Bombyx mori: one gene and its partners. The protein of the gene in region 1 purifies or fractionates together with the protein of each later gene. This does not show direct contact. Links are inferred from orthologs where the notes say so. Each region holds a gene or a part of one and is shown in the gene's direction. Other genes may lie near its edges. The genes, in order: nuclear cap-binding protein subunit 1, exportin-1, regulator of nonsense transcripts 1, THO complex subunit 2 and ALY.

Region 1 (3,977 bases):
AATCAATCCTGAACATTTGAAATTCTAAATTCACGATTTTTTCAAGACAATGTGGTTACATTTAAAATTAATCGATCGATTTTTGTGTTTATTTTTGGGGCTAGTTTTTGATTCTACGAAATTTAAATTTTAACATAAATTCATTGAATGCAGAGTTCGATTTTAAGTACATTTAAATATAGAATGACAAGTAAGAAGACACCGTTGTTGCTCTAAACTTAGCTCTAAAAGAAAGTTATGTAACGCGTTAATTGCTTAATCATCGTTAGCTCCTCAACGATTTTCACGACAGCGACAAAGAATCTCTAAATAGTCATCAAAAATTTTCGCGAGTTGTGGACATTATGAAAATTTTAAGCGGTCCTGGCCTAATTAATAATACGTTCAGTGTTATTAAAATGTTGTTGTTCGCAACTTGTATATATGTAGGTAAGCTTATCTTGAAAATGCCGTAAGCGAGATTCAGGCATCTGTCAAATATCTTGTGTAGTATGATAGCTACTCGCCACATATTAATATCGAGCTAATCATCACACGGTCTATTTCTGAATTCGATGTGTTTAAAAAAAAGGCGGGGTTTTGTGAAGTTTATGGGCTCCGGCAATCGCATTGCTGAACCCATAAGCTCGTTCAACTACGTAGTGCAATAAATTTTTTATTTAAAAATCATAATGATGATTCAATTTTCACAAACATGAAAACTTTAGAAGATCGATCGAAATTTTAAAATGTATATGTTACGCTAAAAATAGATATTGCGGCAAATGTACACATTTTCCGGTAAATGTCCACATTTGCAGCAATATGCAAATGTACATATATCTACATTATATTCAGTTCACATATACCTAACTTTTTGGCAAATGTGCACATTTACCGGTAAAAGTGTACATTTTCCAAGAGTGTACGTTTACCGCAAAATATATATTTTTTACGAGATTAAAGCTTAAAAGTATTTTACAACTACTGAGTTATGCTGTTTTTAGTTTAATTGAATCGTGTGCAATTTTGAAATTCATTATTTAATTTACGATTCTGTTTGGACGGTATGTTGTCGTATAAAGAAAGTATACATTGTAATAAGCACGCGTTTGCCGGTGAAATTTCTAGCTCGTCGCGTGCGCACTTTCCATCTCTTGGATTTTTCTCCGCTTTATATTCGTAATTTTCGCGGCAGTAGAATCTTGAGAATCGAAAATAGTAAGTAGGAGTATAAATTTTATGCATATATGCCCCAATGAATTGCTAATTCGCGTTTAATATCCTAATTTTTTTTTTAAATTATTTACATAAATATTCTTGTGTAAATTTGAATATTGTTTTATCTACAAAAAGTAAATATGTAGTTTGTTTGCGTTATTACAAAAATCGTTGTAAAAAAGAGCTTAATGTATATTTTAGATTCGATATAATATATTATAACCGATTTTAATTTCGCTTTCGTTTAGTAGTTATTCCTATCAAAGCTTTAAAAAATATATCATCAATAGAAAAGAGAAAATGTAATTAATAAAACAATTTATCGTGATGTGTCACTGTTTATTGAATGTCGACACTATTCGATTATTTTTCTTTCTTGGAATTCATTACCACCATATAAAATGTATATTTGTAATAAGTTCATATTATTTTTGTACCCGCAATGTAAAATGAAGGTAGTTGATGGGCGCCCATCTGATTCCCTCAATACAGAGGATCAAACATGCGGCCGCCCATTTTAGATTAGGTTTCATTGCGTGTTATTGTCACCAGATTGTGTTCTGGCTTCATTTATATTTTACCAAATCTAAAACAAAAGATAGATGTAACGCGTAAGCTTGCTTACTGGAACGAGTTAATTTTATTTTAATTTACTGTAAACCATGGAAGCTTCAATTTTATGTCTCAAGTTGTCTCCGTCTATCACCAAAGGCTATGTTATTCGTCTCCTTAAGCGCCTCCTACTTGAACGAGTTAATTATTTTAATTTACTGTAAACCATTGAGGCTTCAACTTTGACTTAAGTTGTTTCTGTCTATCACCAAACGCTAGGTTATTCACCTCGTTAACTACCTTTTCTTTTTTTTATTGCTTAGATGGGTGGACGAGCTCACAGCCCACCTGGTCTTAAGTGGTTACTGGAGCCCATAGACATCTACAACGTAAATGCGCCACCCACCTTGAGATATAAGTTCTAAGGGTCTCAGTATAGGTACCTCCATCTGTCTAGTGCAATATGAATACCGTGATGGTCTATTCGAAAACAAACCGTATTAAAAATACGAAAGATAAGAAAGAAACATATTAAAGATAAGAAAGAAAGATTTATATCGAAGTTTTAGTGAATGAACGAAATATTCTCATGATCGTTACCATTGCTTCGGAACGGAGGTGTGGTAATTTTACGCAACCGCTCAGTCGTGGTATTGTTCGCTATGGTCTCTAGCTATCACGTTGTTACCATCTACATTAATTGTTGATGGATCATCTGCAGTAGTTTAAACACGTATGTGAAATATGGTTAGTTGAAGAACTATACAAGAATTTCTCGTTTAAAGATATAAGATAAGATATAATCCTGTCGGTACTTTCTAGTATCTAAGTATAAGAAGTATGTGCTTAGTTTTTTTTTTAAATTTAGGAATGTTTTTTTTTAAACAGCTGCTCTACCCGGCACCGAAGCCGCCCATCAGCTCGTTGTATTCGTGCGTAACAAGTGCACACCCGAAGAAGCCTTGAACGTTCTCCGCGACCTACCGAACCCCCTCAAGGAGGGCGAACAAACGGCCAACCAGCCGACCGCGTACAACCCCCTGAAAATCGACGTCTTCGTGCAGACCCTGCTGAATCTCGGCAGCAAGAGCATTTCGCACAGTTTCGCTGCGATCTCGAAGTTTCATTACGTTTTTAAGGTTAGTTCGCGTTAAACAGAAAAAAAACACTATCCGAGAATTACATCCGTATTACAGTTACACATTTCGGAAAATAAAGACGTTCCTTTACCAATAGTATATCCCAATATGATCCAAATTATGAAGTGATAATTGTATAAAAGTTGACTACACGGAACCTTCTTCTTCATCGTTCGCTCACGGCTGAGGATCGCGACCACATGTGACTTTCGTCCATAGTGTTCGGTCACCGGTGGCATGGATATAACTTACGAAAACTGAATCGAACTGGTGGTATATTACTAGTGGAATATTACTCGTGGTAGGACCTCTTGTGAGTCGCACGGGTAGGTACCATCACCCCGCCTATTTCTGCCGTGAAGCAGTAATGTGTTACGGTTTGAAGGGTGGGGCAACCACTGTAAAAACGGAGGCTTTAGAACTAATGTCTTAAGGCGGGTGGCGGCATTTACATTGTAGATGTCTACGGGCTCCAGTAACCACTTAACATCAGGTGGGCTGAGAGCTCGTCCACCCATCTAAGCAAAAAAAATTAAAAAAATTGAACTCGTGATTTTGAAAACGTTTATTAAATTTTACAGATCTTAGCCGAGTCTGAGGAGGCGCAGATATGCATCCTCCGCAACGTGTGGGAGCTGTGGCAGCGACACCCGCAGATGGTCTGCGTGCTCATCGACAAGATGCTCAAGACTCAGATCGTCGAGTGCAGCGCCGTCGCCACGTGGCTCTTCTCGAAGGAGATGGCGCCCTACTTCACGCACGGCTGCCTCTGGGAGATGCTGCATCTGACCATCGACAAAATGAACAAGCACGTGTCGAAGCTCAGTAAGTTGCTTGTGTTTTACAAATCAAAATCTATGACGGTAGATGCAAGCAGAGGTTTAAAGTCGTCGTGGCCAAAGGATAAGACGTCCAGTGCACTCGTGTTGAGCGATGGCAACGGTGTTCGAATCCCGCAGGCGGGTACCAATTTTTCTAATGAAATACGTACTCAACAAATGCTCGCGATTGACTTCCACGGTGAAAGGAACATCGTGTAATAAAAATCATACCCGCAAAATTATAATTTGCGTAATTACTGGTCCG
Region 2 (4,642 bases), on another chromosome or scaffold:
GCCTGTTCAAAAGCTCTGTCATCTCTGCTTCTGTTGTGGCAAGTAGTGTTGTGTCATCTGCGTAGCACATGTTCGTCATTAGTTCTGCTAAGGTCTCTCAATTTGTCCATGAACATCTCCAACTAGGTACTGATATCATTGTTTTTTCATTTTACATTCTAATTTGATTGTAGAATATACTTATAATAGGAATAAATGCTAAACAGGATCATATGTAATATAACAGTTTGATTTTCAAATTAGCTTGCGTGTTTTTGTTTTCTACCTATGCTGATATCCTTGAGAGGCTATTTCAGCTTCTCCTTGTAGTTTAGCTCACGAGGCTCAAACCGGTAGTGTTGCCAACACTGGCCCTAGCAAGTTGAGTGATGGTATTTACTATCTTCTATGAGTTTTATTATAAATTAATCTTTCGAACGGTCATGTAAAGGTTGGGTACTTAAAAATTACAAAAATAATTCAGTCGCTACTGAATTCAGTAGCAAGGATGGTTTCTGACTGACTAAATCATTTAGAAGCCTAATTAGAAATGCATCTAGGAAGGTGTAATCGCATTTAGTTACTTAATGGTTTCAGTCGTCCCATAGCTCTCCGTGCGTAAGAACGTTTTAGTTTGTTTTTTGCTTCCGAATAAAAAGTATTGATTTCGGTCGCCTTTATTTAATGTGCCAGACATTTATAAATAGCCCGACATGTTTCAGGAATAGTTTTTGTCATAAAGGGTTGGGATATTGAAAAACTAAATTTTAAATCTTGATACGTATTTCCTGTTGCAAGAAATCTTCATGTTACAACCAATCTTTCTTTTGGACTTATAATATCGTAGGATTAGATATGTAATAGTTATAAAATAGATATATAATAGACTATCGTAGGATAATATCCTGCTTTTGAATAAACGGTGTCACAAGTTTTAATATTAGGTCAAACGAGATCGAATCCATTTATAGATAATTTCTGAAGTCTGCTGGTTCTAAATCACTCTAATGTTCATATTTGCTAACATTCCGCACAGCAATAAATATTTCTTTACCGATATTCTTGTTTTTTTTTTGAGAAATTGAAATAAAAAATAAAAACAAAAAATTTGTTGTTGTCTAGACAATACTGGGGCCATCCTCTTACGCACACGACACGTCTTACTTCGTCGCGCTTAAACTGACAATTGATTCAGTAACTGAATTTAAAACAGTTTAATCAGAAGCTTCTAAATTTGCTTCTGAAGTCAGTCGACTAAATTCAGCCAAGTGTAATAAGCCTTTAATCACAAAATACCATAGATAAAAAATACCATAGATACCAAAAACTAAAAAAAATAGTTTATTTTTCACAACTTACAATGGCAACATAAAAATTATATAAAAAATATTAGCATACAGCCTAGCAAGTGAGATAAAAAGAAGTAATATCTCAATAACTTGTGGTTAAATGTAATTGTAGTTGGTGTTGGTTGGTGTAAATTTGCTGAAACTTAACGGACTTGAACAAATGAGATGGGAAGCTACACTGACTTAACTTGACTTACAACTTAACTTCACTTAACTTAAAAAGTCCATATTTCTGTTTTTGAACCCAAATTAGCAATAGAATGAAGTGAATAAGTTTTTCTTATTAATTAGCTTTTAATTTTAAATTTGCAGAAGATTTCTCCACTAAATTTTAAAAGAAATCACATTGAGTAAACTGTAGTCAATGCAATGCAACGTTCAACAGGAGTTCCGCACTAGTATTTTCTATGACCATAGACTAAATGTGTAAGCTTTTTCAAGCTTCATGAAAACAACGGATTAGTATGTATGGTAGTGCGTTAGATTGATTGCGCCGCAAATTATTTTCTCGGGTAAGTGATTCACTTTTTAAGTTATTGAAAAATTACAATTCTAACGAGTATCCCTACACTTAGTACACGTTTTGTGATTAGTGTAATGAATGTACTTGTAGTAAAATCTGCAACAAGATTGCGGGGTGTGTGCTCTATTTAGTGGTTTTAAACAATTAATGATGTAATTGCCCAGTTTGTAGTTAAATGCTTAACCGAATTATAGTATTAAAAGTAGTTTTTACTAGCATAATTGTTAAGTCGGTGTTTGTTAAACAAACAAACAATTAGGATATGGAGGTTAGAGTCAGTAGAGTCTGTTAACACAGAGTTTTGTTTCATTTTCAGTGTTGTATAAGGTGAGGAATGAATGTGGATTAATCAAAATAATTTTGATTTTGGAAAAAAGGGAACAAATTAACTAAATAAATATATTTTACCAGAATGGCAACCTTAGAACAACAGGCATCTAAACTTTTGGATTTCAATCAAAAATTGGACATCAATTTATTGGACAACATTGTTGGCTGTTTATATTCTGCTGTTGGGGATCAACAACGTGTTGCTCAGGATATACTGACTGCTTTGAAGGAACATCCTGATGCTTGGACTCGTGTTGATACAATACTTGAATATTCTCAAAATCAAGAAACTAAATATTATGCATTACAAATATTAGAACAAGTAATACTAACGAGATGGAAAATATTACCAAGAAATCAGTGTGAGGGTATAAAAAAATATATAGTTGGCCTTATCATTAAAAATTCATCAGATCCTGTTACGATGGAAAGCAACAAAGTTTATTTGAAAAAACTAAACATGATCCTTATTCAAGTTCTGAAAAGAGAATGGCCCCATAATTGGGAAACTTTTATCAGTGACATTGTGGGTGCCTCAAAGACGAATGAAAGTCTCTGTCAAAACAATATGGAAATATTCAAGTTGTTGAGTGAAGAAGTATTTATGTTTAGTACAGGCCAGCTCACACAAACAAAAGCTAAGCATCTAAAAGATACAATGTGTTCAGAATTCAGTCAAATCTTTCAGCTATGCCAATTTGTCTTGGAAAATTCACAAAATGCACCTTTAGTTGGAGTGACCTTAGACACTCTTTTGAGATTTTTAAATTGGATTCCACTTGGTTATATTTTCGAAATGAAATTGATAAGCACATTGATATTTAAGTTTCTGAACGTGCCGATGTTTAGGAATGTAACATTGAGCTGTCTTACTGAAATTGCCGGTGTCACAGTCAGCAATTATGATCAGCAGTTTGTTTATTTGTTTGTACAAACTATGGAACAACTTGAAGTTATGCTTCCTCTAACTACAAACATACGTGAAGCATATGTAGCTGGTCGAGATCAGGAACAAGTTTTTATTCAAAATCTTGCACTTTTCTTATGCACATATCTAAAAGAGCATGGTCCGCTCATAGAAAAGAGTGGATTAACAAACACTTTAATGAATGGTTTGAGGTATCTTGTCTTAATATCAGAGGTAGAAGATGTAGAAATTTTCAAAATTTGTCTTGAATATTGGAATGCTCTTGCTGCTGATTTGTACAAAATTGCGCCATGTTCGTCAAACTTGTACCATTTGGGTAAAAGTGGAGGCCGAAAAGCTTTGTATGCTGATGTCTTGAGCAGTGTTCGGTATATTATGATCTCGAGAATGGCAAAACCAGAAGAGGTGTTAGTTGTTGAAAATGAAAATGGTGAAGTTGTGAGAGAATTTATGAAGGACACAGACTCCATTAATTTGTATAAAAATATGAGAGAAACATTAGTTTACTTGACACATTTAGACTATTTAGATACTGAACGTATTATGACAGAGAAATTACAAAATCAAGTAAATGGTACTGAGTGGTCATGGAAGAACTTGAACACATTATGTTGGGCAATTGGATCTATTTCTGGAGCTCTATCTGAGGATGATGAAAAGAGATTTTTGGTTATTGTGATTAAAGAGCTTCTAGGTCTCTGTGAACAGAAAAAGGGAAAAGATAACAAAGCTATAATTGCTAGTAACATAATGTATGTCGTAGGACAATACCCACGCTTTCTTCGTGCACATTGGAAATTTTTAAAAACCGTTGTCAATAAACTTTTTGAATTCATGCATGAAACACATGATGGTGTCCAAGACATGGCGTGTGATACATTCATAAAAATTGCTATAAAATGCCGTCGACATTTTGTCACTACTCAAGTTGGAGAAGCCTGTCCTTTTATTGAAGAAATATTGGGCACCATTAGTACTATAATTTGTGATTTACAAACATTGCAAGTTCACACTTTTTATGAAGCTGTTGGATACATGATCAGTGCCCAAGTAGATCAAGTAGCCCAAGAACTTTTAATTGAAAAATACATGCTTCTGCCTAATCAAGTTTGGGATGATATTATATCTCAAGCTTCTCGTAATGTTGAAATCTTGAAAGACCCTGAAGCTGTTAAACAACTTGTAAGTATACTGAAAACAAATGTGCGTGCATGTCGTGCACTAGCACACCCATATGTTGTGCAATTAGGAAGGATATACCTTGACATGCTTAATGTTTACAAAGTAATGTCTGAAAATATAAGTCAAGCCATAGCTTTAAATGGCGTAGCAGTTACTAAACAACCTCTCATTAAGAATATGAGAATAATAAAAAAGGAAACTTTGAACCTTATTTCAAGTTGGGTTACACGCTCGATTGATAACAGTATGGTTTTGGAAAACTTTATTCCACCTCTTCTCGATGCTGTGCTTTTGGATTACCAAAGGACTGCTGTTCCTGAAGCTCGTGAGCCTGAAGTACTGTCTTGCATG
Region 3 (4,458 bases), about 2.6 Mb from region 1:
TAGTATAAAGTCAAGTCATAGCTCCAAGTTTGAAAATTAAATAAGGAATTTCTCGAAAACATCTCGCGAAAAAAAAAAAAAATTTAAAACGATACTAAATATTCTGCATTCGTGGCGCGACATTGATACACAGTTAAAGCGCCATCTATCAAGCTATGAAGTTATCTCCTCGTCCCGTTGTTAAGATGGTTGAATAAATAATTTTGTTAATCTTAATAACAAATTTATAGTACAAATATTTAAATACATCTTTTGATGATCATTCACATGAAGGTCTAGACTAATTCAACACACTACGGTACTTTTGACTTTTGGCGGGAATGTGAGGATATGTAATGTTTGATTTGAATCGTCTACTTGACAAGCAAAGGGAGCATAGCCTATACAGCAAAGCTTTTGACTGAACTAAATCTGTTGTTTAAAAAATGAAATGAAATTGATTACGGAATGGAATTAAATAGGGTAAATGAATCAACCTCAAATTCACCACACACCTCAACACACCACACACCTCATCAACACATCACAACACTTCAAATCTTAGATGAGATTAAATACAGTAGCCTCTCAGTAAAATGGTGGGAATTTATTGTGAATTCACTTGTCTTTTTGAATGAAAATGAAAACTAAAACGATATTGTTTAATTTTCCGACATAGATCCTAAGAAACTCATAAACTAAAAAAATTTAATGAAAAAATACTAAATTTACTATATCAACGGTGCCCAAACTGGTGTACGCCGGATATGAGGTTTCAATTGTGTGATACAACGACTATCCCACTCCGATTCATCATGAATTCCAAACACTTGATTGTTTCATAAGATATCTAGTTTCCATTATTGTAATCTATGTATTGACGAATATTTGGAAATTTTAATTTTTTTACCCGAAAAAATTTTTAAAGGCATTCATTTAATAACGCTGTCATTATGAACACATGAATAACTAGCTAAAATTCTTACTTTTCGCAGCATTTGAACCCAGCTGGCAACGCTCTCGCAACAACAATCTTGCCCGTTAGTCCAGGTCCATTCGCGTCATTTAGATTATTTTGTAGTGAGAAAATCGGTACAGTGAAGAGAAAAAAGTATATTTAAGTTTATCCGGTCATATTTCTCAATTAAGTAGTACTTGTGACCTGGCCTCTATTGCCCAGTGTTGCGTCTTGTGGCAATAGTAAGTGACAGCTTTGAGTTGTAAATATATTTTATCTGTACTTAAATTTTCTCACTTGGAATAGTTTGTTTTTCTGTACTTTAATTGGTTAAAAAACAGACAGCTAAACTGCACTCAAAGATTTGATTGGTACAAAACTTTGAAATTATTAATTGACAAATAGAATAACAGACAATTTATATAAAACTTTATACGGAAACAAACCATGTGTTAACATGTCGAATTTTCGTCACGATTTGTGTGTCGTTTGAATAACTGCGTGACTGCTATGGAAATATCAGCCAATAGTCGTTCTATATATTTTCTTTTGGATTAATTTTGTTTGTTTAAATTCGTCATTAAAAATGAGTGTTGAAGCATTCGACCCAAGCTCGCAATCGCTCACGTTTCTGGAAACAGAGGAAGGGGACTTTATTGGAGCAGACACTCAAGGCTCTGAGTTTGAGTTCACGGATTTTACATTACCCTCTCAGAGCCAGACACAGGCTTCACAACATGACCATGGGTTGTCTTCATCCAACCAGGTATGTAGAACACCACCGAAGACACATCACTTCAACTCACAGAAAGATCAGTAACTATTGACATTTATCACGTTGTAGGTTAACGGAATAGGACGTATAGAATTGTCGTCTAAAATCTCTAACGTGACTAATACGATACCGGAGCTGCAATTCGAAGAGGAAGATGAGGCTTTGTACAGCAACAAGGAACTTCCAGATCATGCTTGTAAATACTGTGGCATACACGACCCGGCCACAGTCGTTATGTGTAACATATGCAACAAGTGGTAAGTAGTATCATAATCCCAAAAATGTAGTATTTATAGACGTTTTTTTACAATATACATGAAACTGACCTCTGCTTCCTAACTATTTTAAGTATTGGTTTATTTTATCAACATGGGTTGTTACATCTTTCATGATTATCTGTCTAATGAAATTAGAATGTTAGGAAAGTAATAGCAACTCAAATAGAACTGTGGCCTCTCAAAACAGGCATGTCTTTTGTGTCTCTCAAAACAGACATGGTTCTGTTATCCATGGGCCCTGGAAACAACTTAAAATTAGTTAGATCTTTGTAACTTTACACAGTTATTGGAATGTAGATTGCAGATTAATAAGTTGCCTTTGTTACAATGAATTTGCTTTAGATTCTGTTCCTACATCTTCTTTGAGCATGCCCTACATTGGTAATTATCAACTGAGTAGAGGAATAAATCAGGGGAAAAATTTACTGGATTCAAGTAGTAATGTTATAACTCATTGAAAATGACCTACTTGAATTACAAAATTTAGATATTGAAGTATATAATACAGCTATGCTACATCATAGATCGGATACACTTTAGAGATAGATAAAACAAAACACTTGCATACTACTGAGCAATTGGAAATATAAAGATTATAAAGAATTAGTACTTTATGACTTAAAAATTAAGAAAATTTTAATAAAATTAAATGTCTGAAAGAAATTGCAGTGAAGATTATGTTATACACAATTTATTGAATATACTCTGATTCCTTAAGAATAATATTTTCCAGGTTCTGTAATGGCCGCGGTAACACTTCAGGCTCTCATATCATCAACCATTTAGTACGTGCAAAGCACAAGGAAGCTGCATTGCACCGTGACGGGCCACTTGGCGAAACCCTTCTGGAATGTTACTCATGTGGTGCTCGGAATGTATTCGTACTCGGCTTTATACCAGCTAAAGCTGATTCTGTTGTTGTGCTACTTTGCCGGTATGATATTTTTTTTAAACTTAATAATCACTCATTAATATGTAATATGCTATTATCTCAGTCATAAAATCTGTGACTCACTCCAACATAAACGATTGCTCTCACTCTGTGAAACACTGCGCCACATGGTGTCGCATCGCGAGAGCATCGGTATTGCAGGATCCGACTGATCCACTGACCACGACCACTCTGTCAAGAGTGTACAAATAAGAAGAATTATCTCAGTGCTCAGAGAAAAAAAAACTATAAAACAATTGAAACCAAGATAAATTAGATAATTATCGACTGCCCGCTACATTTAATATCAAGAATTGAATTTTCAGACAACCTTGTGCAGCTCAAAGCTCTTTGAAGGATATGAACTGGGATCAGGAACAGTGGAAACCTCTGATATGTATGTTTATATCTTTTAAAACATAAAAAATCAAATGATTTGTAGTACTGATAAGCTTACATTTATTTATGTGTTTATACATAACAAGTTTTATATCTAAACCTGATAAATAGTGATCATGAACATAGCATCCTGAAGTTGACCTGGAAAGACTTGTAAATGATGATGTAGATTTATATATAAAATATATTACAGCCCACATGATGTTAGTAGTTACAACAGTATCAATATTGACACTACTTACCTTGAGATATGAAGTCGAAAACTCCATTTCAAAGTCTAAAAATGATCTCAGATAAGAAATTACTCTAACCAGTATTCTTATCCCACAATTCAAGTCATTATGCATTATTGTCATTATACCACATCATCACGAGCTGTCTTTTAATCATACTCTTAAGACTTAACAAATAGATGAATAGAAAGACTTTCAATGTAAAATTTCTTTATGTAACTTCATCTTGACCAATTTTAAAACCTATTAAGAACATAAAATGTTTTAGTATATGACATAAAAATAGATAGATAGCTTTTAAATATTAACCGACAATATTCATTATAATTACAGCTGATCGTGCCTTCCTGTCTTGGTTGGTGAAAGTGCCATCAGAAACAGAACAAATGCGAGCTAGACAAGTAAATTTTTATATACAAATTAGACATTTATAGAAATATTAATTAATTTACTTATTTATACCTTTTTATAAACAAAACAATACATATAATAATATGATGTATAATAAAATATAGTTTTATACATATAAATAGTATTGGGAGACAAAACAAGAGTTTTAAAACTGTTTTGAAGAAAAAAATTATGTTTAATAGTTTTAAGTAATTGAAATTTTCAGCTGCAGTCTGCCAAAAATTAGCAATAATCTTTCTATTAATAATGTGCAATCTTTTCTGTTTGCACATGCTCTTTTTTATTTCTGCTCATATGGCTTATCCAGGGCTTATTCCTAATTATTGCATTGACAACATCAAATTCTGTTTTCCAAACTTCTTTTTTTGCAGAAGGAAATATTTTGTATCCCTAATAAGCTATAATATATTTAAAATTTTATTATAAACATTAGCAAATTACAATTTGTTAAGAATCCTATTTTTATTTTAGCCAATAAACCTTTTTTTAAACAT
Region 4 (3,977 bases), on another chromosome or scaffold:
CTAAATCAAATGTAATGAATAACATGTTTATTTCATTTTTAAACACAATTTATTTCAGGTTGTTTTAATTTGGATCCAAACAGGGTACTTGACATAATTCTAGAATCGTTTGAAGCCCGACCACAATTAGATGCTCTTTTTATACCGCTTATTAAGAGTTACATGGCAGATCCTCATGTAATTTCTGAGGTTTTAGGTTTCAAACTGAGTAATATGGAAATTCTTGATAACTATACAGAACCTCCACCGTTGATGACTGTAATTGCATTGCTTTTACAACATCAGGTTATATCATTAGATGACATCTATCCATGGGTGAGTACAATAATTCTATGAATATATAAAATTAAAGTATGTTAGCAATATTAATGAAAAATGTTTCTTACTATTTTGTTGGTAGCTTCGCCCAGATGATGTGATAATAGCTAAACAAGCTGATAAAGAAATAAAAGCAGTTCAAGAATATATAAGAAAAATTAACATTGTGTCTACCAAAGGACCACAAACAAATGCCCCCACTGAATTTATAGAAGATAAAGCTGATCCGCAGGTAACTAGTAAAATATTGTGTAGTAACGTAGTAGTTAACTAGTAATTAATATGAATATGTGATATTTTAGATATTTGAAAAATGGCCAAAAGGCAAACAATTCAATGTTTCATAAATTTTAGTAATTTTGATGGATTCTTTATTCCTAATTACTTAACACTGGGATCCAGGCTCGATTCCCATTTTTGTCTGTTCATTGTTATATTCTTGTGTTGTATTTTTCTGGAACCTCAAGCACAGTATCTATTAGGCTTTTGAATGTGGAATGCTTGAATAGTTTATTTATTTATTTAGGAATATTGGAGCAATCAAAAGCTAGTGTTATGTGAAACTTTATTGAGAGTCAATGCGTGGCGAGAGTTTGCCTCACTGTTTGCGCGTCTTCCCACTACTACGATGCCGCCAAGACCAGCAATAGCCCTTTGTGGGTTGCTGCATGCTGTTGTAGAACCATTGTATCGAAAGTAAGTCTTACCTTTGAATTCAATAAGGTTGTCTTAAAGGATGTATTTACTGGTGGTAGGACTTCTTGTGAGACCGCGCGGGTGGGTACCACCGCCCTGCCTATTTCTGCCGTGAAGCAGTAATGCGTTTCGGTTTGAAGGGTGGGGCAGCCGTTGTAACTATACTGAGACCTTAGAACTTATATCTCAAGGTGGGTGGCGCATTTACGTTGTGGATGTCTATGGGCTCCAGTAACCACTTAACACCAGGTGGGCTGTGAGCTCGTCCAACCATCTAAGCAATAAAAAAAAATATGTATAAATTCAATGTAATAAACTGTTATTTTAGTAATGAATGATTTATTAGAGATTACTACAATGAATATAATGTACAGCTTTACCATGAATCTTTTCTATATTTTATAAGAGAGTTTTCTAAAAAAATTTACAATTATTTCTTTCAATAAATAATTAAATTTTTAGGCAATGCCGAGTAGCTTCAAAAATACTCGGAAAACCAGTACCTCCACTTAAATCAAATTTAGCACCACCTAATTGTAAAACATTCGAAGACATGAAAGAAACAGTTATACCAGCCCTTATATTGCTTGGTCCAGCCCTTCATCATGACCCTGTCTTGATGTACAAAGTAAGTTTTATTTTATTTTATTGCCCTTATAGGCAGACTTCAGAAATAATTTGTAAAATTATTTTAAGAAATTAATCGATATGGGATCCGACTATATGGAAGGACTTCTTTTTCATCTGCCAGTACTCTCGAGGGGCTATTCTGGCTTCACCTTGGTTAGTGAGCTCCCTCACAGTGTTCATGTACATTGTGAAAGAATTTTCTAACGCTAATCCTAGCAGAAGCAGTGCTTTGTCAAATATAACACCGATAGGAATCACGAACCACTGAGAAGATCCGATGAGAAACTCATTACTTATCATTGTTGATGTAAATAAATGAAGAGAGATTGTCGTACTATTTTTTTGTCTTATTTTCTTAATCTATATTTATTAAGTTCAAGTTATTTTAACTATGAATTCGTCTATGTTCAATTTGTTTGAAATTTAGTGTTAATGATAGTAAAATTCTTTCAACAATTGATATCTATAGGTGTCTAATTTCCATCAGTTTTAAGGATCTTATTGGTTTGTTTGTAGGCGCCAATAGACAAAGTAATATACTTTTTAATCCGACTCCATAAAATCTATATCCTTTACCTACATAACCACTGTCTGGAGACAAATAAAAGCAAATTGGGTTGAAGCTTGGAATAAGCTATCTAATAAGAGACAATGCGTTAATATGCGTTAAATAGTTATAATAACACTGTCGGAAGGCGAGTGCGATCGTGTACAAATCATAGTGTATAAATGCACGACAATGCGCGGTAGCCGTCTGAGAACAAATTATCACTTTAAAAAGTCACACAACAAATAGATTATCATTGGGAAACTAAGTAAGGAAAGGATTATCCATTTAGCATCTGATAGGTTTTAATTGCACCATTTGAAAATTCTAAAAGGAGATTCATCACCATTTATTGAGTTTACGCTCACCCACTCAATTTTGATTTTTTTATTAGGTCATTAGAATACTTAGAACTGCTCGCGGTCAAAAAGATGATCCGTTACATTTTGAGGCACTAACCGTTTTGGATACCGCAATATTACCGGCTCTTACACTGATGGAAGGGAATTGTTGTATGGCTGAAGAGGTGTACACATTACTTAAGTTATATCCATATCAGTGCAGGTAAAGAATAATTAATAACTAATAAAATATGCTAAATTACATAAATCTTGATGTTTATTTTATTTTGCAAACTTATTTAAGATACTGTCTCTATGCGCGTTGGAAAAATGAGGCTGGCGAACGAATACCTGCTCTCATTCGTGTCCGGGGGAACTCATTGCAGAAAATAAAACACATAATGAAACGAGTATCCAAAGAGAATATCAAGCCCCAAGGTCGTCTCATCGGGAAACTGTCGCACGCCGCCCCGGCCTTTCTGTTTGATTACGTGCTCTTGCAGGTAATTGGCATTCAGTCCATAAAACAGTTTTACTTCTTCCTTTAATGTTTTATGAATGTGCTATAAAACAATAATTTCTGTTCCAGATACAAACATACGACAATCTGATAGGACCAGTAGTAGAATCCATGAAATATTTGACGTCTCTATCTTTAGATGTTCTGGGATACTGTTTAGTTGAGGCTTTAGGCTCTCGACGTTCGACGCCACCTGCGTGGCTACAAGCACTAGCCTCGTTCGCCGGGGCAGCCTTCAAGAAACACAATATTGAGTTAACTGCTCTTTTGCAGTTTGTTGCTAATCGACTCAAAGCTCAACAGAGGTATGCATTCGGTTACAAAGTATTGTTAGGCGCTGGTGTTCGGAATAAATAAAACTTCCACCGAAGTACAAATTCAAATTCTATTTAACACTTAAAACACTTACACTTCAGGTAATCCGTTCGCCGTTTCGCTTCGAGTAGATTCGGTTACTAATTAATTCTGGGTCATCTCTGCAATGCTTTTATAGTAGATACCACATCCCTAGAATTTTGTTATCGAGAACATACCTGACAAGTCGAGTAGTTTCAATATGTGCTATAATATGTGCTATTTGACTATAGATAGCGTTGTACTTCTTGAGCGTTCTCGATTTTATAAGTTCTTTTAATATTCGTTTCTGCTATTCGACGATAGATGGCGATGCTCTTACCGGCGTAACAGTATGAACAACGAAGATTCGCAATGTAATAAAAATCATATATTTTCAGTCAAGACCTGATAGTATTAAAAGAAATAGTACAAAAAATGGCCGGTATAGAAGCTGCTGAGGAAATGACACCCGAGCAGTTAGAGGCTATGGCAGGAGGTGAACTACTTAAAGGAGAGGTAAAAAAATATTAAGCTGAAGCTAAATCTGATTTTTTGTTCAGTTATTCAAATCACACATTTGTACAGGCTG
Region 5 (4,704 bases), on another chromosome or scaffold:
AGTGTACATTTGTTTGGCACAGGCTAGAATGGTAGATGTCTTCCCGGTTCCAGGAGGACCGTAGAATAGTAGATGTGGGAGCTGATTCTCTTTCATAAATTGATTTACTGTAATGACAATATTCTAATCTCAGTAAATACATATATTACTGTACTAGGGCTAGTACCTAATCTCACAAAAATAGGGATGTAGTGGTTGGAAGGCTGCTGCCTCAATTAAGATGTAAACAAAGTACTCTAGAAGAACAAAAAGAAAAATCCTTTACTTTATGTTACAATGTACAAAACATACTGGTACGAAGAGGGGGTTTATGCATTAACTGTTATAAGGTATTCGTATTACGGTTAGCAACTTAATATCAACCTGATTCAAGTCCAATTTTTATAGCCTTAAATTTGATAGTCTCTTTAAAATAATGTGATCATTAGTTTCAGAAATTTATACTTACTTGTTTTTATTATATCATCATGAGATACTAAATCATCCAATCTTTTTGGGCGATATTTTTCAACCCTGCGTAAAAACAAAGTGTTAATCGTCGTAGTAAAATATATTGAGTTATGATTTTTTTGTTTAAATCATTGTTAATGATAGTTCATACCATGGCAAATTTTGGCCTGTTTCCCCAACAGTCATATTGTTTTTATAACAGTATTTTTAAATCGCTTCTAGTATGTAAGTACAGATACTTTAATAAAAACGATTTATTTAAATTGTGGATTGGTTTACAAGCTTGAGGAAACTATAAAATTCAAAATTCGAACCATAGATAGTAGTAGCAGTTTTATTCATAGATTATACACTTAATATATTATTGGAAAGGCAAAGGTATCATACCATAAAGCGTAATCTTTTATATATTTTTTATATGTAAAATGATTTATGAAATGAAATGAAGTTGATTAATATGAAACATAACATGAAATGAAATGAAATGAAAATGAAATGGAATGAAATGAAATGAGATGAGATGATATGGGATGAAATATAATCTCAGTAAAATGGTAGTCATTTACTGAGACTTTTTCAGTGGACTTTTTAGAGGATCCCAAAAAGTTATGCTCAGCGGCTTTGTTTCAATTTTCCCACATTTGTGCACTTTCACAGATATTAAACAGGTTATAAACCACCGTTATTACACATTTAAACTTGGAGAAACACTAAATAGACAAAATAAAACAAAACACACAACTTCACTCCTCGCGCCAAAAATCTCGAACCATAAATAATACACTTCTTAATATTTGAATTTTGAGTGCATTAGCATTACGTGATTTGATTACCTAGTTAAAGATTAAAACTAAGCGCTTAATTTTTTAAACAGAAAGATTTGACCAAATCAACTGGTAAATGTAAAATAAAATAAACTAAGACAGATGTGTAAGATAGTCTTTATTGACTATAATTTCTACCAAATTTAAAGCTCAACAATTTTTTTCAATCTACTGTTGAACTAATATTAGCAATCTGGCAATAACGAATCTTTTCTTCGGCCATTTTGTCACCGTCTACTTGGGAAGGAAGAGTTCTAAAAGGATTGTTTTTGTTTTTGACTTAATTTTCATAGAAAAAATATTTAGAATTTCAAATAATCACCATGGTTGATCAAATTGAAATGGCACTGGATGATATTATAAAAGCCAACAAAAAGACAAGGATTGGAGGTGGTGCTGGAAGAAAATTTGATGCAAACAAAAGAACAGGACGTGGAGGCGGTGCTGGATTTCGTAGCAACCGCTCTGGTGGTGTACAACGAGGTAGAAATCGTGGAGGCATAACGAAATCTACCAACTATTCGAGGGTAATTCCAATAATTAGATGATTCTAAAATTACAAATGGCGGGCAAATGTGACGCATCAATGTATCTAATTTGTTCTCAAAAAGTCAAGCAACCATATGGACCATCTTGTTGAAATAGTTTTAGACGAAATTTGACACTTTGATTCAAATCAAGACCCTTATTTTATTCGTATCCGACCTATTTTCAACTTGAAACCATAATCCCAGCAACCATATTGTTATCTCCATCAACGTTTTTGTTTTGCATTGTTTACCTACATCTGCCGGAAAATTCTATGATGGATGCTGATATAAAAGTGTAATGAATTCGAGCAAAACGTTACTTTTGTGGAGATGTCTACAGTGCAGTTTTGACCAATTTATAGAATTGACTTCAGGAGTTGAAAAGTAAATAAATGGACTCCATGGACGGCTGAGACTGGTTGTGCTTCATAACTTATTAGTCTTGTGTCTGTGTGATGAAAGTGATAAAACAGTTCTATATTTTAATTTTCGAAAAAAAACATGTAAACTACATCAAATGTTATTTTATCAAGTGGTTCAGATGTCAATGTATTAATTTTAGTGCCTAAGCTTTGAGTTTTTATTATATTCAAAGGAGGCATAGAGAGTAGCCACATGGCTAGCTCTATGAAGGATGACCTTTTCAGGGTGATGTGAACAGCACTTGGAAACATGATATGTTCAATGATTTTGGTGAGAGGAAACTTCAAAGAAACAGTGGGACCATAACAACTGGTCCTACCAAGCTGCTTGTATCCAATTTGGACTTTGGAGTATCAGATTCAGATATAAAGGAACTATTTTCGGAATTTGGCATCCTCAAAAGTGCATCTGTACATTATGATCGGTCAGGTAGATCTTTAGGTATGTATCACAAAGCATAAAAACTTAGTTTGTTCCATTAAGTATTTCATCATACAAGATATTTTTAAATTTTTTTAGGTACTGCAGATGTTGTGTTTGAAAGAAAAGCAGATGCTGTGAAGGCTATGAAACAGTATAACGGAGTGCCACTTGATGGACGGGCAATGAATATACAATTGGCAACATCTGAAATCAATACTTTAAGGCCCGAGGCTAGAAATCGAATTGGTGGTGCGAGTGTGGGAGGTACTATACGAAACAATCCTAAAAGAGGTAAGATATTTTCCAGGATTTGTTTGTATGGGAGGAGTGATAACAAATTACATCATTGTGATTTGTGACAAATCACCATATACAAGATGGCCTCTTAGTCGAATCAATCTGGAAACACCTAGTTATTGTCGGAAAGATACTTCAATAAGGCCATTGGTCATGATAATCGCCATATTGTTGCTGCCGCTGACTATTTCTACCCACAGCAGAGACTAACTGTTGATGTCCTAGACACATAATTACGGATCCATCAGATCCAATAACTCTTGCATTAGACACCTGCTTTAACACTAACCATACTCATTGAACTCTAAAGAGTTTGATGTGCAACCTAATCCATAGACAGACTACTGATCTGGTAGTAGATTCATTTGCAAAGCAGCTGCCCATGAATTGTGTTAGACCTCTTTCGGAGGTGTTCAACTGTTAGCAAACCCTTCTCTTCTGGCTAAGCATTCGTGGTGTAACTGGAAAGGCCTCCGGCCCTAAATCCTTCATTTAAAAAAACATTATTAAAATTAATTACTTTTTTTAAAACTGATATTTTCCCACTAGTTCTTGTTGTACATTTTCACTTTACTGTTTGCAAGTTACAAATTACTAGAAATCCATTAATTATTTTATTTTTGAAGGAGGTGGAGGAATTAGAAATCAAAGCAATAGTGGAGCACGTGGGGGAAACAGAAGAGGACGTGGTGGTGCAGGCAGAGGCAAACGACCAGTACCTACTGCAGAACAATTAGATGCAGAGCTTGATGCATATGTGAAAGAAATCAAGTGAATAACTAATGAGAATGTGCATAGACACTCAGTTTTATCTTAAAATATGAATGAATAAGCTTTGTGTTCTCAATGTTCTAGATTAATTGTAAAAGTATAGGTTATACTAATAAAAGACTACGAATTATAAAGAAATTATAATTCTAGTACATGTATTAAATTGGATAAATAAACCCAGATTTGAAATTTTCTTGTATAGATTTCTTTTTAGTCTGTAGTTGTGTACACAAGTGTAAACATTTTTAAGGAGGTTATCGTAATTCAACTGTATTACAGTGAATGCATCTGCATTCGGCATCTGCCGATTTGGAAACTGCCTAGATCTTAAGCGTATCACTGCTCCACCTCCAAACATCACTACCTGTGTAGGTTAAAAATTATACGTAGCTACTGGTGATGTTATTCGTTCAATGTGGAAGTCTGTCAAAAACAATGAGAAATACTTTTTCAAAAAATTTTCATGGTCATTACACTCAATTTCAGCACATCAACAGTCATATTTAAAGCTACGGCAACATCAAAGTTCATTTATAAAAGGAGTTGTCGTACCCCCTTACAGGGGCACGGAACGGGCCTCGGGCAAACCCCACTGCTTGGACAGAAGCTCCCTGCCACACAGGTCGGGGGTGATGTGGGTGCAGGGTGAGCTTTATAGGGGAGAGAGCTGTTCGCAACGTGCTCGGCTACAAATGACATCGACATATATACATAATACGATGGGCTTGCGCCGGTTGAAGGAGGACGCCCGGCGCCAGGGTCCCTCCGGCGTCGTATTGTCCTCTGCCTTTTTTTTCCTTGCAAACTAACTACAGGGACAACAGTCAGTAGAACGAGGGGCCCGCCACCGGCCCAATTTAAGGCGCTAACCCGTTCCAGGCTCCCCATAAGGGGGGGAGCGGTCCACCCACGGGGCTGGTGAAATGGGTCCCCATAGGAGGGCAGGGGGGGGACGATGAGTGTGGACAGCTCAGTCCCGGGGGGGC

What was found.
Region 2: the proteins of nuclear cap-binding protein subunit 1 (region 1) and exportin-1 purify together in Homo sapiens (affinity purification with western blotting; 3 studies listed by BioGRID and IntAct, with this or other methods). This does not show direct contact. The link is inferred for Bombyx mori from reciprocal best matches to the Homo sapiens genes NCBP1 and XPO1.
Region 3: the proteins of nuclear cap-binding protein subunit 1 (region 1) and regulator of nonsense transcripts 1 purify together in Homo sapiens (co-immunoprecipitation; 3 studies listed by BioGRID and IntAct, with this or other methods). This does not show direct contact. The link is inferred for Bombyx mori from reciprocal best matches to the Homo sapiens genes NCBP1 and UPF1.
Region 4: the proteins of nuclear cap-binding protein subunit 1 (region 1) and THO complex subunit 2 purify together in Homo sapiens (affinity purification with western blotting; 3 studies listed by BioGRID and IntAct, with this or other methods). This does not show direct contact. The link is inferred for Bombyx mori from reciprocal best matches to the Homo sapiens genes NCBP1 and THOC2.
Region 5: the proteins of nuclear cap-binding protein subunit 1 (region 1) and ALY purify together in Homo sapiens (affinity purification with western blotting; 6 studies listed by BioGRID and IntAct, with this or other methods). This does not show direct contact. The link is inferred for Bombyx mori from reciprocal best matches to the Homo sapiens genes NCBP1 and ALYREF.

What each region holds. Positions count from the first base shown.
Region 1 is NC_085127.1:11,168,508-11,172,484, forward strand, and holds part of nuclear cap-binding protein subunit 1, read left to right. Parts: intron 1-2,640; coding exon 2,641-2,891; intron 2,892-3,472; coding exon 3,473-3,716; intron 3,717-3,977. UniProt on the Homo sapiens protein: Component of the cap-binding complex (CBC), which binds cotranscriptionally to the 5'-cap of pre-mRNAs and is involved in various processes such as pre-mRNA splicing, translation regulation, nonsense-mediated mRNA decay, RNA-mediated gene silencing (RNAi) by microRNAs (miRNAs) and mRNA export.
Region 2 is NC_085118.1:10,175,344-10,179,985, forward strand, and holds the start of exportin-1, read left to right. Parts: upstream 1-1,680; 5' UTR 1,681-1,840; intron 1,841-2,167; 5' UTR 2,168-2,263; coding exon 2,264-4,642. UniProt on the Homo sapiens protein: Mediates the nuclear export of cellular proteins (cargos) bearing a leucine-rich nuclear export signal (NES) and of RNAs.
Region 3 is NC_085127.1:8,613,959-8,618,416, forward strand, and holds the start of regulator of nonsense transcripts 1, read left to right. Parts: upstream 1-1,221; 5' UTR 1,222-1,523; coding exon 1,524-1,703; intron 1,704-1,781; coding exon 1,782-1,969; intron 1,970-2,723; coding exon 2,724-2,924; intron 2,925-3,247; coding exon 3,248-3,318; intron 3,319-3,886; coding exon 3,887-3,954; intron 3,955-4,458. UniProt on the Homo sapiens protein: RNA-dependent helicase required for nonsense-mediated decay (NMD) of aberrant mRNAs containing premature stop codons and modulates the expression level of normal mRNAs.
Region 4 is NC_085119.1:9,001,557-9,005,533, forward strand, and holds part of THO complex subunit 2, read left to right. Parts: intron 1-58; coding exon 59-315; intron 316-400; coding exon 401-550; intron 551-844; coding exon 845-1,014; intron 1,015-1,476; coding exon 1,477-1,642; intron 1,643-2,585; coding exon 2,586-2,755; intron 2,756-2,836; coding exon 2,837-3,035; intron 3,036-3,121; coding exon 3,122-3,357; intron 3,358-3,786; coding exon 3,787-3,904; intron 3,905-3,973; coding exon 3,974-3,977. UniProt on the Homo sapiens protein: Component of the THO subcomplex of the TREX complex which is thought to couple mRNA transcription, processing and nuclear export, and which specifically associates with spliced mRNA and not with unspliced pre-mRNA.
Region 5 is NC_085114.1:10,511,809-10,516,512, reverse strand, and holds ALY, read left to right. Parts: upstream 1-1,540; 5' UTR 1,541-1,597; coding exon 1,598-1,801; intron 1,802-2,451; coding exon 2,452-2,668; intron 2,669-2,746; coding exon 2,747-2,941; intron 2,942-3,573; coding exon 3,574-3,722; 3' UTR 3,723-3,826; downstream 3,827-4,704. Other genes in the region: replication factor C (activator 1) 5, read right to left, coding at 1-107, 449-513, 602-636. UniProt on the Homo sapiens protein: Functions as an mRNA export adapter; component of the transcription/export (TREX) complex which is thought to couple mRNA transcription, processing and nuclear export, and specifically associates with spliced mRNA and not with unspliced pre-mRNA.